Notamacropus eugenii: one gene and its partner. The protein of the gene in region 2 interacts with the protein of the main gene of each other region in a pairwise test. Links are inferred from orthologs where the notes say so. Each region holds a gene or a part of one and is shown on either strand. Other genes may lie near its edges.

Region 1 (7,938 bases), on a different chromosome or scaffold from region 2:
CAGGCGGGTGTTCCGTGCCCGTCCCATGGGCCAACTTTGGAATATAGAACTGTCTCCCCCTGAGAGAGATGAGGTTGAGCTCACTCTGCCGGCCAGGGGAAGGCGAGTCCCCTTGCATGATCCCTGAACCCGAGCCCGGAAGGATCGATCTAGAAGTAAGTAGATGATGGGGTTGGCACTACTGTTGACGAAGGCAAAACAGGTAGAGAGAGAGAGGCCCCAGCGCAGTGCCAGAAGCAGTGAGCAGTCTAAAGGCAGAGTCCTCAGGTGGGCAATGTGGAAAAAGGTCTTCAGGATGCTGAAGGGGAGCCAGGAGCAGGTGAAAGTGCCCACGATGGCAAAGATGATCCTGAGGGAGTTCTTCCTACCCCGGCCCAGGTGGGGAGGGTTCCAGAGACGCTGAGAGATGAGGGAGTAGCAGAAAAGGATGATACCCAGGGGGATGAAGAATGTGAGGAAGAGGACCAGGAGGCTGAGCCACTGGAAGATGTCAGCAGGGTCATCTCCACACAGGCTGCCTGGACCCACTGGCATGGGCAGCAGTTTCCTATAGACCAAGGAGGGAACCCCCGACAGAAGAGAGATGGTCCAGATCACGCCACATGTCGTCAGCATGCAGCCCTGGTTCCGGAAAGGCCTAGCATCCAGGAGTTTCACCACGGCTAAGTATCGATCCACACTCATGCCAGCCAAAAGCAGGATACTGGCACATCGAGTCACTGCGATAATAAAACTGCTGACCTTGCACAGGCCCTCTCCAAAGGTCCAATGGCCACCCAGTCCAGCTGCTGTGGCCCAGAATGGTAGAGTGACCACACACATCAGGTCAGCCACAGCCAAATGGAGAACAAAAGTATCCACGAGCCGCTGCGGGCCCTGCTGCCAAGCCAGCAGCCAAACCACAAAGGAGTTTCCCACCAGCCCCACCCCAAAGGCAGCCAGGTAGAGGAGGGGTATAAAGATGTGGCCATAGGGGAGGTCAGGAGTGGGACAGAACATTGGCTCCCCATAGTCCCCAGACCACTCATAGTTTTCATCTCCCTCTCCAGGGCTAGGGCTCCAGGATTCTGTTGTCATGGTGGCCAGCTTCTCTAGATGGACCCTGAGCCTTGGCTTAGATTTGCTAAAATGACATCTCGGGCAGCTTTTTAAGATGTTTGCCTCACTGCTCATTCCCCTGACACCTCCCTTCCTGCTAGCCCAGGTTAAAGAAGGTGGTTGGAGGGAGGGAGAGGGGTGGAGATAGAAGTGGGTGGAGAAAGAGCTTGTAGAAGAGAAAGATAGAGGAGCTAACCCAACCATCTGACTGAGTGCATCTGGTCTGAAGGACCTTGGGATTCGTGAGTACCACAAGGGGAGGGAGGACTGAAGATGGAACAGTGATGAATATTAGGGATATTTCACACCCAGACTCAGAGAAAGGAGATGGGAGGACTTTCTCCACACCTGCAGAAAGACCACAGTCAGTCAATAAACATTTATTAAGCACTTACTATGTGCCAAATCTGTGCTACGTACTGGGGATACTCAGAGATTGAACTCCTTGAGAGTTCAACCTACATCTAACAACAATGTACAAACGAGCTCCATACAGGATAAATTGGAAATAATTCACAGAGGGAAGGCAATAGAAGGAAGGGAGATTGGGAAAGGCTTCCTGTGGGAGGTGGGATTTTAGAAGGAAGCCAGGGAAGACTGGAGGTGGAGATGAGGAGGGAGAGAATTCCAGATATGGGAGTCAGCCAGTGAAAATACCCAGTTTTTTTTTCTTTCTCAGGGTTTTCCCCTTTTGTTCTGATTCTTCTTTCACAACATGACTAATGGGGAAATATGTTTACTATGATTGTACATGTACAGCCTATATCAGATTGCATACAGTCTTGGAGAGGAGGGAAAATTTAGAACTCAAACTTATGTTGAAAACTAAAAATAAATGAATGAATAATGGATGAATAAAATAAAAGAATGAATAAATGAATGAATAAAAGAAAATACCCAGAGTTTGAGATGAAGTATCTTCTTGGAAGGATAGCCAGGAGGCCAGTGTCATTAGGATGGTATATAAGTTAAGACTAGAAAGGTGATAGGAGTGGGTCAGAGAGGAGGGGAGACCTCATTAAGGGCTCTGAATGCCAAACAAAAGTTGATCCCAGAGGTGATAGGCAGCACTGGAGTTTCTTGAGCAGGTGAGGGTGAACTGGACAGACCTATGCAGTGCTAGGAGTTGAGAGTCCTGAGTTCTAAACCTGTTCTTTGCTACCAGCTAGCTTAGTATTGTTAGGTAATTCATTGTACTTCAAAATGCCCAAATGTTCTTGCCTATAAAATGGGTATAAGGACCTCACCTTATCTGGTTGTTCTGAGGGTCAAGTGAAATTATGGATATGAAAACCCAATGAAGAAAATCAAACATCAGGACAGCTAGATGGCACAATAGAGAAAGCACCAGACCTGGAGTCTGGAGGACCTGAGTTCAAATCCAGCTTCAGACACTTACTAGATATGTGACCCTGGACAAGTCACTTAACCCCAAACGCCTCAAAAAAAAAATCAAATGTCCTCTGTTGAAATGTCAGGGAGCTCTTATGTCATTCTTGGATGCTGTTGACAAATTTTTCCCATTTTTGAAGATGAGAAGCCATTTGCGGTCAGGATCCCTCATGACATAAGTCTAAGAGAGGCACAGGGAAGATGGTATAGTGGAGAAAGCGGTGCATTGGGAGGCAGAGGCTTGGGTCGGAATCCTAGTTCTTCTCTATATCACTTGTATGACCTTGGGCAAGTCACTTCTACAGTTTCATTATGTGTAAAATGATGGGGTTGGACTAGGTCAGTGGTTCTTATGTGGTGAACTTTGGAATGATTGCAAAGGATCCATCTCAGTCAGCGACTCAACCTAGCAAATAGCAAATAGACATTCCTGCTGGAATCTCCCTGAATAATGTCTCACATACCAAGGTGCTACTTACTACTTTTCAAATGTAGGCAGATGTTGTTATGATGAATTATCATTCAAATTCATCAAACTAATTAATTAATTAAGATTATTATTTCATCTAGTATATAATAACCATATCAAATATGAGATATGACATTATGTTATAAATATAATACATTATATTATACTTATATTAAATATGAATACAATTTACTATATTATAAATATATTAAAATACATAAAATATTTATATATTATAGATACATTAAATTTAGATATTATACTTACATATTATATACAATATATTTGTATAACATTATTCAAATAAATTCATAAAAGCATGAACAAATTCATAGCAGAACCATAATGCTGGAAGAAACCTCAGAGAACATCTAATCCAACTTCATCATTTTATAGCTGAGGAAAACAAAAGCCCAGAGAGATGAAATGATTTGCACAAGTAAGTTGGGATTTGAACTCAAGTTATCTTAGTCCGAAGCATATGCATTTTCCACTAGACCACACTATATAACTCCTGACTTTTGATCCTCATTTTTTTCCTCAATCAACAGATTCCAATACTATTGGAATCTACTACTATGAGGGAGAGGGGAAGGGAGATAAAATTCTGTCTTGTTTTGCATTAAATATGGTCCTTATATTGGATAAGGTTGAGAACCATTGACCCAGATGATCTATGTGAAGTCTCTTCCAGCTCGAATCCTGTGATTTTAGGACCCTTCTGCCTCACCTTCCATCTCTTACTCAGGAATGGGCTCCCCTGTCCGTTTCTGAGGGGAAGGATTGTTCCTGGAGGGGGCTTGCCTCCGCCCTCCTGGCCCCAGGTCCGTTTGCCACACCCTGACTTGGCCATCAGAGGACCTGGCTTACAATTCTAGCTTTGATGCTTACTTACTACCAGGGGTGTGCAGCTCCAACCAGTTTACAAGAAACAGTTACTCCATTTTTAGATGCAAGCATGGGAAGAGTTACAAATTAGGGCTTGATTTATTGTTTTGTTGATTGTCTAGACAAGAAAGACATAGAGAAAATGTTAATAGTGGAGATGAATAAAAGTGTGTCAAACTTACATTTTTTCTTCCTGGAGAACTGGTCTCACCTTTGACACTTACTACTGTGTGACTTTGGGTAATTCAATGACATGAAAAGGCAATTATGAAATGCCTACTATGCACCAGTTGTGGTTCAATCATTTTTCAGTTGTGCCCAATTCTTTGTGACCCCATTTGGGGCTTTCCTGGTAGAGATAATGGACTGGTTTGCCACTTCCTTCCCTAGCTCATCTTACAGATGAGAAGCTGGGGTAAACAGGGTGAAGTGACTTGCCCAGGGTCACATGCCAGATTTGAACTCAGATCTTTCTGACTACAGGGCTTCCACTCTACCCACTGTGCTACCTAGCTGGCCTCACTATGTACCAGACATTATTTTTTAAAAGTGTGTAAAGGTATAAGTACAAGTAAGACAGTCTCTACCTGCAAGATACTTACATTCTAGTAGAGGAAGATAATATAGATGGGTAAACAAGAACTGGAAAGAGCAGTAGGGGAAGGGCAGAGGTGTGGTGGTAAATGTTTAACACTGAATTTCTGGGAAAAAATATATGTACGACACATGTCTAATGGGCATTATTAACCTTTTCTCTTTTACTTTCTTAAGTCTAGACAATGAACAAAATAATAACTCAAGCCCTGATTTATACTTTGCCAATTTGTGATGTATAAATGCTCACAGCGAATATTTAACAATCAGGTTTTTTGGAGTGGTTTGAGGTGGCTCCAGCACCCGCAACCCCACCCTAAGAGGTGAGATATAACAGGGGGCATGCACCCCAAGTGTATATGCATGATGATCACAGGTCTGGGTAAGATACAAGTGAAAGTCCTCTGATTAGGTCCAGGCTCCCAAATCTGTCACAGGAGAAGGAGGAGGAAGAGAAGACTGGAGAGAAAATGTACATCATGGAGATGGCCAGGGAATCACAACCTCTCTGTATTTTGGTTTTCTTGGCTTTAAAATGGAGGAACTGGATTACTGGACTCCTAAAGTGCCTTTCAGCTTTGGTTCCTCCAACTTCACCTGTGATATGTTTTATGCTCAGAACCACAGACCTTGTTCATCCCTCATGGGTGGACAAGTCTCAATTATGTTAATTACAGGGATGTGAATAATTCAGAATGGTAGATGGTAGTCCATGAGCACCAATTTTAATAGCTGGAATTTATTTAAGGTTTAAGAGGCACTTTACCTAACTATCCCATTTGACCCCAAAACCCTTGCTACTTGGATCACAACCACAGCTGATAGATTTGCAACTTGAATAAATGACGAGGTGCTTATTAAGGGATTGGTGCTGGGGATACATATAAAGCCCCTGCCCTCAAGGAACTTACATTTTTCTTAAAATCAAATTGTATTTTATTTTCATATTCTCATCCTCTTTTGCCCTCCTCACCCCTTTACCCACCTCTAAGTGAGAAAGCAAGAGGCACAAACACCCTGCTACAGGCCTTATAGTCAGATGAGACAAATTTCCACATTGGCCATGTCAAAAAAAATAAATCTGCAGTCTCTGTTTGAAGCCCATCACCTTTCTCTCAGGATGTGGGCATCAGGTTTCATTTTGGGTCCTCTGGATTTGTAGTTGGTCATTGTATCAATTGACATTCCTAAGTTTTTCAAAGTTGCCTGGTTTCTAATATTGCTATTACTGTATAAATGGTTCAGAGGGCTTATATTCTAATGGGAGGGATGAGGCATGGTGGCCAGGGAAGGGAGTTATGGTCTGGGGAAACACAGGGACAGTGAACAGAACACGCAGGCACTCCACCAACGGAACCTTTCCAGGGCAAAAAGCAGAGCTGATATGCTTATAGTTCTCAGAGCCAGAGGTGGAAAGGGAGTAATGGCATGGGAGGGGAGACAGGTAGGTTTGAAAATGGCCAGATTGTTCAGAACTGATTGGCTTTGCCCACCATGAGCAAGGAATCTGTAGATCCAGATTGGAGAGTGAAATGGCAACGGTAGCTCCAGGGCAAAAAATATAGTCTTATATGGGAGGCAGCTAGGTGGCACAGTGGATGGAGTGCCAGGCCTAGAATCAGGAGGACCTGAGTTCAAATCCGGCCTCAGACACTTACTAGTTATGTGACCCTGGGAAAATCACTTAACCCTGTTTGCCTCAGTTTCTTCATCTGTAAAAGGAGCCAGAGAAGGAAATGGCAAACCAGTATCTTTGCAAAGAAAATCCCAAATGGGCACAAAGAGTCAGACTAAAAACAACTGAACAAAAATGTGTGTGCATATATGCATGTGCATATATACTATAGTATTTATTTAATGGGACCATATATATGCATGTCTTGTATACTTAATGGAATTAGATACATATAGTCCCATTCACTAGCAAGACTTCTTCATCAGTCAGTCCATGGAAGTTCTTATCAGGGTTCTTTTCACCATTGTTGCAATATCACTATATAATCATTACGATACAATGTTTTTGTTTCTGACTCTCTCACTGCACATCCGTTTCTGTGATTCTTTTCAGTTGATACTCTATCATATGAATGGTTTGCTCAGGTTAGTGTTAAAAGGAGTCTGCATTCCCAAAGTCCACACCAACTGACAGGGAGGGGAGACAGCCCTATCACATGCTAAGTAGGCAAGGGCAGCCGGCCTGGGCTGTAGAGATCTAAAATGGACATAGGCTAATCTTTGTCTTTTTGATATGTCTTCTACTTGGGGTGACTTACCACAAGGTTAAAGGTGAAACTAAATTAACTGCTGTAAGAATCAGAGCTGTAACTATGCCTAGGGAAGATTCATTTGGGGTTGGAGGGCAGTGGGAATGTGGAAGGAGAGCCTGAATCTTGGTAGTCATGACAGGAGAGGGGGTGGCTGTCCTTCAGAGACTTTGGTTCTTACCATGATGGAAGTTGGTGGGAAGGTCCTGGAAGACTCAGTGAGATTTAGGGATGCTGTTGTAGGAAGGAAGTATCCCCAAGGCTACCATGCCAACTCCCTCGATGGGAAGGGACCCTATGGCTATTCCCTCTTGCTGGCATCCAAACTTATTCATGGTGTTTCACTTCCCAGAAACAAAATCCTACACATATCGATTACATTTAATTTTCTCTAGTGCTTCAGAAGATGACAAATCTTCTCTCTCTCTGATTCATAACTCTACAAATCTGTGTCTCATTGTTACTAATGGCTTATCTCTACATCCTTGAGAACCCACTACCTTCAGCCCCCATTCCCTCGATGTGGAAATGGATATAAAATATTTGCCTGATAGTGTTCCAAAATGAGTCAGAAGCAGAATTGGAACCCAGAGCCCCTATTGCTTCCTCACTGCCAACTTGACTGGGTGTAGTTGCCTGCCTCTCAGATTCAGAGAATGGGCTAAGTTTGATCTGGCACCTAGAGAGCATGAGTGATCCTGAAAGCCAGAAATGAGTAGAGAGTAAGCTGCTAGGGAAATTGGTCTGAGCGGTTAGATGAGTTTCGAAGGGGAAGAAGATGGTTTTAGAATACAGAAACAACTAGATATGACCAACACTGAGTTATGATTCTTGCTGGGGACCTGGTCTCTTGCCTGCTACAAGTTTAGGGTTCAAATTATAGGGTGGGGTTCTCCTAGGGTAGTCAGGGAGACCTATGGGGGGTGTAAGAACTATACTTAGGTATTAAAAAACAAATTTTATTGATAGCCTTTGTTTTTATATTAGTACTTTCAGATATAATGAAAGGTCACCCCACCTCTCACATCAGCCCTCCATTGTAACAAAGAAAAACAGTTAAGCAAAATCAACTATGAATAAAAATCACATATTGTTATATGCATTCCTAGCTTCCACCTTCTACTTAGAAGTGGGAGGTGCTTTTTCCTCTCTGAGAGGGCCAAGATCAGTCATTACAATTACTCAATATCCAGCTCATTTTGAGGTTCTTTGCATTACATACAGGTTATTCTA
Region 2 (8,060 bases):
CTTCAGAAGGGAATGTGGAAGATGATTGGAAGGTCAGAGATGCTTCTGTTGCCCAGTAAATTTCAGTGTTGGACCTCTGTGACTTCTAAGGAGAAAGGATGGGGGAACTCTGAAACACGCTGTCATCGAGGATGGGGAAGCAAGACCCAGGAACAAGTTCATGTTGCTCTCCCCTTTGTCTATGCCTCTGTCTCCCCAGTAATCAGGGATGGGAATGAAAGAAATGGAGGGAAGTAGGTGGGGAAAGTGTCAGGAAACCTCTTCCTGTGGAAGGGAGAAGCAGAGATCAAGGCCAAACCTCCAAGAAGCCTAGTCCCCCTTCTTTCCTTTTCTTGTAACTTGTGAATGCATGGTCCCAGTTGGAAGGTCCAGAGCAGTAGGGAGAGGGAGCAGAAGCAGAAATAGGAAGGAAGAGATTAGGACTGGCCACAAAGGGTAGTGAATTCACCATCCTAGGAAGTCTAAAAGCAAAGGCTCAGTGTGAACTTCTCAAGATGATGCCCTGCTCAGGTAGAGAAGCCCCTTTCAGCTCAGAGACCTTGTGGTTCTGTGGTTCTAGGCAACTGATGAGGAGGAGAATGAACCTGCCCAGACACTCCGAAGCAATGAACTGAGCAGCTCCCATGCCGAGGCACAGCCCAAAGTGGCTTTCTGGATAATCAGCCTTCCACGTCGGATGACCCGGACTGAAAGCCGGGCTGGGAGCCGCTGGGTCAGTGAGAAGCGTCATCGGCTTCAGGCAATCCGGGATGGACTTCGGGAGGGAGCCCACGAGGAAGCCCCCTTGCGCCTTCGCCCTGTGCCTCACAGGGCCCATTTTCTCTATTTCCTAAGGCCCCCTCGGCAGCTGTAGGCTCCAGGGTTGGCAAAGAGGCAGGCTGAGGGCAGATGAGAGGTGAGGATGCCTGCATCGGCCCCTCCATCCCCTCGAAAATAAATAAAAGTTCTATCTTCAGTGAAAACAGCATCAAGGCTGTCTGTCATCTCCGGCCAGTCTCGGTCATAGCAAGGCCCTGGGCTCTTTCATCTGTCTCTACTCTCCTGTTCCATCACTGCAACCTGAAGTAGAGAAAGTTCCTAGATAGAAATCAATAGACTTGAGTTCTCGTCTGACCTCCAGTGCTTTGGGCTAGTCACTTCTCAGATTGTCAGTTTCACCATAAGTAAAATTAGCATAAGGAGATTTGTTCAGCCTAGAGGCCGAAGGGCTACCCGAGCCTTTCTTACCTGTCGTCCAGGTCTTCGGAGATCAGCCGGATAAACGTGTTGAGAGAAGAGACTTTCCAGAGTCGAACAAGGGTTAGGCTTTATTCAGGGTCTTAGTTACATGTGCAGGGTGAATTCTTCCTCAGGAGAGAGGAATCCTCCTCCTCCCAAGAGGCAAGGATCGTACAGCAAGAGGATGGGAGCAGAAGAGGGGGGGACCCTCTTCCCTCCAAGGGCCCCTCAGCACGAAGAGCGCCTTCAGGCTTTCCTGTCCCTACTTAAGCTCTCCCGCCGCATAGTTTGCACGTGGATACCATGCATGCTCTCAGCCCCTAGCTAGTCAACAACAGGTGTGCTCAGACCACGGGCCAATCTCAAGGGTGGGATGCTCTCCCCAGCAAGTTTCCCACTGAGAAGAGGTGGAAATGCACGAGATAGCCCGTGTTTCATGCCTCAATTCCCAGCTGTTCCCTGGGGGGCCTCATAAGAACTCTGAGGTTTAGAAGTCCTCACCTTTACCTGCCCGACACTGTCCACGTGAAAACTGAGCTTACACCCCCAACAGAGATTAAAGTTTTCCTCTAGCCAGAAGATACCAGGTGTAGGTGTGGGTTCATCCTTTGTTGCCTAAGAAGACCATGCCATCAGAGAAATGATGACATGATTTACATTTGACTTTGTTTTCAGTGAGGGAGGGCTGTGCAGGTCACCAGCCTCAGTTCTCCTCCAGAGCCTGAATCCAGTGACCAGAGATACTCATCATGATGACTGGAGATATGACCCAGGATGAGGCAATTGGGGCTAAGTGACTTGCCCAAGGTCACACAGTGAGTGTCAAGTGTCTGAGGTGAGATTTGAACTCAGGTCCTCCTGACTCCTGCACTGGTGTTCTATCCACTGCACCACCTAAGTGCCCCTAAAAAAAAGTCTGAGACCAGATTTGAACTCAGGAAGATGTCTTCCAGACTCCAGGCCCAGCACTCTACCCATTGCACCACCTAATGCTCCTTAGACAGTTGATACTCACTAGCTGTGCGATCTTGGGCAAGTCACTTAACCCCAATTGCCTCATCCTGGGTCATCTCCAGTCATCCTGATGAATATCTGGTCACTGGATTCAGATGACTCTAGCGGAGAAGTGAGGCTGGTGACCTGCACAGCCCTCCCTCACTCAAAACAAAGTCAAGTGCAAGTCATGTCATCATTTCTCTGATGGCATGGTCTTCTTTCAACGAAGGATGAACGCACACACCAGGTGTAGGATCTGAGACACTCCCTCTCAGTCTCTCTAGAAAACAAACAAAAAATGACCTCAGGGTAGAGCAGGGTAGACTGGGTCACAGCACCCAGTCAAAACCACAGCTCCAGATTCTCCACAGACTGACTTGTTTACTTTTAGCAAAGTAAATGCATTAGTTCAGAATAAAATAACTTAAGAAAATACAGGAAGGATACAGTCTCCCATAGCTTACTGCACCAGTGGTGAAAGATAACACAGAAGTGAGACCAGGGCACATAAACGGGAACATAAAGAGAACCTATGTGAAAAGGTACATGCCCCAGAAACCCTTGGGGCCAGAGCCATTCTCAACCTATGGTTTTGCAGGGCTGCCTAAGTTCTCTCAGGAGATAATACTTGCTCTGCTAGGTATCTCCCCAGTTGTATGGTTGTATTTCAGCTCTTGCTGGGCAGCTGCTGGCTTTCCTATCTTCAGTGCAGTGATTAGTTAGCCTCTCCTTGACCGGGGCAGGCTGAGCTTTTTTATATATAGCCCAGAGCTAAACGCTGGAAATCACCATACCTAGCTAAGAACAGCCAAATAAAAAGCCAGTCAAAGTGGCCCTTTTCTAAGATCTTCTGTTGTTTAGAATGCTTGTGTCTGGTGTTAATGCCAAGTCTTAGATTCAGGATCAGAAAATTCCTTTCTAACCTAAAGGAACGAAAAAGGTAAGGTCATTTGCTTTCCATCCTCCTGACCTAATAATGCATCTCCTGGGTAGCACAAAACTTCATTTGCCCTACCTACCTGCCAAGGGTATTGGAGGAAGTGTTCTGTAAATCTTACAATGCATTAGAATGTGAGTTATTTCCAACCCCACTTCCTGCCCGTTATAATGGATCGTGCCTAGTGGTCCTTATCATTTGTGACCCTATAGAAATAAAATCTTCAGATCATCTCCAGTGCCCTTGGTTATCCGCTGTCATGTCCCTAGGACAGCCAGCCCTCTAAGAGAGCCTTGTGAAACATTTTGTCCCATTACAGAATAGTTGGTGTCCTACAAGAAGAGTCTTTTACAATTACCAGCATTAAAGGGTATGGCTTGGAACAGCTGTTTGAGGTGCCATAACTGGCTTGGCCACCAGAGGATGCTCAAAGTTAGTTTCCACAGCTCCCACCTGTGTGGGTGCACAAAGTACCTAGCAGTCTCACCTTCCCAGCCTCTTTTAGTGCTTTCTGAGTGGACCATGATGTAGAGATATTCCAATAATACATTTCTTGACGCATGCTCCATCCAACTGGAGTTCAGCTTGGTCCCAAGGAATTCACATTCAGCATATTGACAAAAAAAACCCCATTTATCTTGCAATGTAAAGCTGAAGAATAATACCTGAAGAGATAAAGTTCCTCCCCCACCCCCAACCCTGTTGTTGAACGTATCTGTTCACTTTCTCGGGGTAGGAGGATGATCCTCGGGGACCTAAACCTGGAAGGAGGAAGGGGAAATGTCCCCACAGTGCAGCCTGCCGGCTCCAGCTTCTCTGGCACAAGTGGTACCCAGCCGGCACCCCAGCCAGCACCCCAGCCGGCATCATGTCAGCACCCCAGCCAGCATCCCAGCCGGCACCCCAGCCGGCATCATGTCAGCACCCCAGCCGGCATCAGGTCAGCACCCCAGCCGGCACCCCAGCCAGCACCCCAGCCGGCACCCCAGCCGGCATCATGTCAGCACCCCAGCCGGCACCCCAGCCAGCATCCCAGCCGGCACCCCAGCCGGCATCAGGTCAGCACCCCAGCCGGCATCAGGTCAGCACCCCAGCCAGCATCCCAGCAGACCTTCTGGCTTCTTTAACCCTTTTTGAGGCTGATGCCCGCACCAGGAGGGTTCCCGGCGGGCTCCCCCGGGGCCATCCCCCCAGCCACCCCCAGCTTCTTCACCAGATCTCGTGTGGCCAATGAAACCAGAGGCTGAGGGGAGACGGAGGGTGGGGAATGCTTGTGGAACTGTTGAAACAAAGGCTGGGAAAACTCCCGTTATTCCCAAAGGGTCCCCGGAAATCAGACCCATTGGGTGAGTGGGAGTTAGGGGCTGCTTGTTAAAGGGGCAGGGTGCGAATTTGGGGAGGTGTCGCTTGTGGATGGCTCTGCAGGAAGCTGGGTAGGCCAGAAGGGGGAGCCCCCTTCCCCCTTTGATTCCCCCCTTCTCCACCCCCCACCCCGTACGCCCCAAGGTAAGGCGGGGGTGATTCTCTGTCTTGGGGGGGCCGTGCTAAGCTTAGCACTCAAGTGTCCTGAAGACTCCCTGGAAAGGTTTAGGCCCAGGCAAGATGGGGGTCCTGGCTGGGGGAGGGGGCAGGGGAAGAAGCGGGGATACTGACGGCCCCAAATGGCCCAACAGAAATTCTTTCCCCGCCCTCCTTCGGGCTGGACTGGGAGAGAGGCGAAGGAGGGCCTTTGCGCAGGCGCAAGCCTTGGCCACGACGCATGCGCATGGCTCGCCAACGGTTTGCCGAGCACTCCCTCCTGCGCCTGCGCCTTGCCTCGAGGAGGGGCGCCCGAGGCGCATGCGTACCCACGACTGCGGCTTCGACGGCAGGGGCTCGCTCATTCTGGCGGGAAAGGCTTCCGGCCCAGCTTCCTGCCAGTTGTCGAAGCCCAAGGCGGGCAGCAGGGTGAGGGGCGAGCTCCCCACCGTGACTGAGCCGGCCGAGGAGAGAGGGAGCCCCGAGCCTCTCAGAGAGGGCCCCCAAATCTGTGAGAAAGGGGACCCCGAGCCTGTCAGGGAGGGGCCCCCCAAACCCTGTGAGAAAGGGGACCCTGATACTGTCAGAGAGGGGCCCCCAAATCTATGAGAAAGGGGACCCCAAGTCTGTCAGAGAGGGGCCCCCAAATCTATGAGAAAGGGGACCCCAAGTCTGTCAGAGAGGGCCCCTCAAATTCTGTGAGAAAGGGGACCCTGATACTGTCAGAGAGGGGCCCCCAAATCTGTGAGAAAGGGCCCCTGAGCCTGTCAGAAAAGCCTCTAGTTCTATTATAAAGGGCCCCAAATAGTGCTGGTAAAATCCCCCAGCCTCTTAAGATACCCCCCCCAGATGTAGTCAGAGAGAGGCCCCAAATATCAGACCTTGAATGTTGCTGGAGACCTCAAGGATTCTTTTGGATGGCCCCCCACAACCCTACAGGAGTAGGGAGCCAGAGAGCCCCCCAGCCTCTTAGAAGGAGAGTGTCTCCCAAACCCTGGCAGGTGACCTCCCCTCCCAACCCCTTAAGAAAGAGGCCCCTGAGGTCCCCCCCAATCAATACGTGAAAGAACCCCAGGGCCTTTGAGCTCCCCCCACCCCCAGCGAGGCCTGGCCCAAGTGCTCTGGGGCACTTGGGGCACAAGGGAGAACAGGCTCTGGATAATGATCTGGTTCCACGGAGGCCAGCAGGCCATAATTAAGATGGAAGACTGAGGGGTACAGGCCGGGCTGGTTTCAAGCCTCAGTCCTGCTCTTTGTCCTTCCAGGGAAACAGTGGTGGCATCAGCCCCTTCCCCTCTTGAGGCTCAGGAGCCAGGTTCAATGGATACTGTGGAGAGCCAGGTGCCCAGACCCGCCAGCCTGACTTCAGAAAGTGGGTAACTCGTGTCCTCCCAGGGTGGGACTGGGGGGCGGGGGGGTGGGGGTCAGTGACGGGACCTCAGGATCCCAGAAGGGACTTGTCCCAACAGGTGGAGGGAGGCAGCTGACTCAGCTCGATGGGGTCTGAGGCGGGGTGCGAGGTGGGGATGGTGCAGGGAAGTCAGCTCTGGGATTCGAAGGAAGGAAACAGAAGGAGGAATGAAGCAGCTGACTGTGCTGCTCCCCAAAGAGGACGGTTCTAGAGGAGGCTCTTCTCCAGGTGGTGAGAAGGGCAGAGCACTAAGGCAGAAGTGTGGGTATGGGCGAGGGCCAGGATCCAGAAAGACCCCAGGGAGAAAGGGCCAGGTGAAGCAAAGGCTTAGAGGTGGGAGATGGACCCATGAGGTCAGGGTGGTACCGCTGGAGACTGGGGGTCCAAGCCAGGGGCTCCAAGAATCCTGGCCCTGTTTCTTTTGAACTGTGCTACCTTGGGCTCATACCTTATTTTGGCTGAATCCCAGTTTCCTTCTGAGCCAAACAAAACATTTTTACCCTTAGGTGAGCAAGTTACTTTCTCTGGCATGTAAATTAAGGAGTAACCTCTAATGAGTCTCAGGAGGAAGTGTTTAGGGGATGAACTTGGGAAGTGTGCCAAGGGCAGGGATTTTGTGGGGCCCAGATGCTGACCAGGATCTGTGTCCAGGTCCTATGGAGTCAAAGTGAACTAGTGGTTCCCAGCCTCTCGCCTCCCAGGTTCTCCCACACCACCCTGTGATGGGCAGCATTCTGGGGGATGGGCTCAGAGGTGAAAAGAGCAAAGTCTGTGGTCATATTGCTGGTGGGAGGCCACAGGCTCAAGGAGGAGGGGGTACCCAAAGCCAAAGGGGGGACTTCTAAAAGTGACCCAGGAAAGCAGCCTGTGTGCTGGACAGCTTCAGTAACCCATTCCAACCAGGGAAGACTTAAGGTTGTTTTCAGGGGTTGGAGCCTGGTTTGTAGAGAGAGAGGTGAGTACGCAATTTTATCACCTTCCCAGCTCACTTTGCAGAAGTCCAGTGGAAACAAAACCTCTGAGAGTTAGAAGGCCTGGGCTCTAAGTCCTATCTCTCTACTTGCTGGCTGTGACCTTGCCACTTAACCTCTCAGATTAACCTCACTTAACCACGCAAAGATCTGTTTTCCTTGTAAAATGGCATGTAGGCTAGCTCTAAATGCCTATGGCTGGTCCCCTTTCCAGTTCTAACACTAACACGCTGATCCCCTCAGACCAGGGAGTTTATCTAGGTGTAAGCAGCCCTGGGCCTGCAGAGGTGGTCCAGAGACTGCAGGCCTGAGCTGGGTGGGGCAGGAGGCTCCTGAGTCCACATTAGCCATGCTTCCCAAGCCCCCTGACCCCTGGAGTGGGGGGAGAGGAGCTCAGGGAGCATCTTTGCTGGGTCTCTGCCTGTCAAGTGTCTGAACCAAAGCCGACGTGGGTGCTGCTGGACCAGAGGGGAAGTGCTATCCTGGAAGTGATTGTCACAAACTGAGGGCAACCCTGAAATAGGGGCAACCCTGGGGAGGTTCCACCTCAGAATTTGTAGTAGCAGAGAAGAAAGCAAGGTATAGTGTGACACTTTAGATTTGGAAGAGCAGGTCAAAAATGTAGGTATAGGATAGGTAGCATGTCTTTGCATAAAATTCTGTAGTTGGTCCAGGAGGGCTGTCAGGCTCCTAAGAATGAAGTTCTGAAGATACAAAGGGAAACATTTCTGATAAAAAGGGAAAAAGAATGTCATGTAAATAGACGAAGGTCTTCTAAGAAAGCACCAACCAATTTAGATGTCATAAAGATAGCAGGGAATCACAGATGCCTATGGAATCATGTGATACATCAGGATTAAAGTTCAGAGTGAGCTGAGACTGGCAATCAATGCTAAAGACAGTGGAGATGGGATTTCTATCTAGAGGGAAAGAGGAGGACCAAGAAAGGCTAAGATCCGTACTGCTCATTGGGAATGGAATGGTGATCCTGGTGTGGAGGGGGAGAAAG

Evidence for each region.
Region 1: the proteins of KASH5 (region 2) and GPR25 interact in binary tests that used the Homo sapiens proteins (3 or more experiments, as listed by UniProt). The two-hybrid records come from large-scale screens. The link is inferred for Notamacropus eugenii from reciprocal best matches to the Homo sapiens genes KASH5 and GPR25.

Annotation. Positions count from the first base shown.
Region 1 is NC_092873.1:439,827,933-439,835,870, forward strand, and holds the start of GPR25 (probable G-protein coupled receptor 25), read right to left. Parts: upstream 3,044-7,938; 5' UTR 1,303-3,043; coding exon 1-1,302. UniProt on the Homo sapiens protein: Orphan receptor.
Region 2 is NC_092876.1:12,584,137-12,592,196, forward strand, and holds the start of KASH5 (protein KASH5), read left to right. Parts: upstream 1-4,872; 5' UTR 4,873-4,910; coding exon 4,911-5,098; exon of another isoform or gene 5,099-5,180; intron 5,181-5,934; coding exon 5,935-6,041; intron 6,042-8,060. Other genes in the region: DKKL1 (dickkopf-like protein 1), read left to right, coding at 1-32, 560-853. UniProt on the Homo sapiens protein: As a component of the LINC (LInker of Nucleoskeleton and Cytoskeleton) complex, involved in the connection between the nuclear lamina and the cytoskeleton.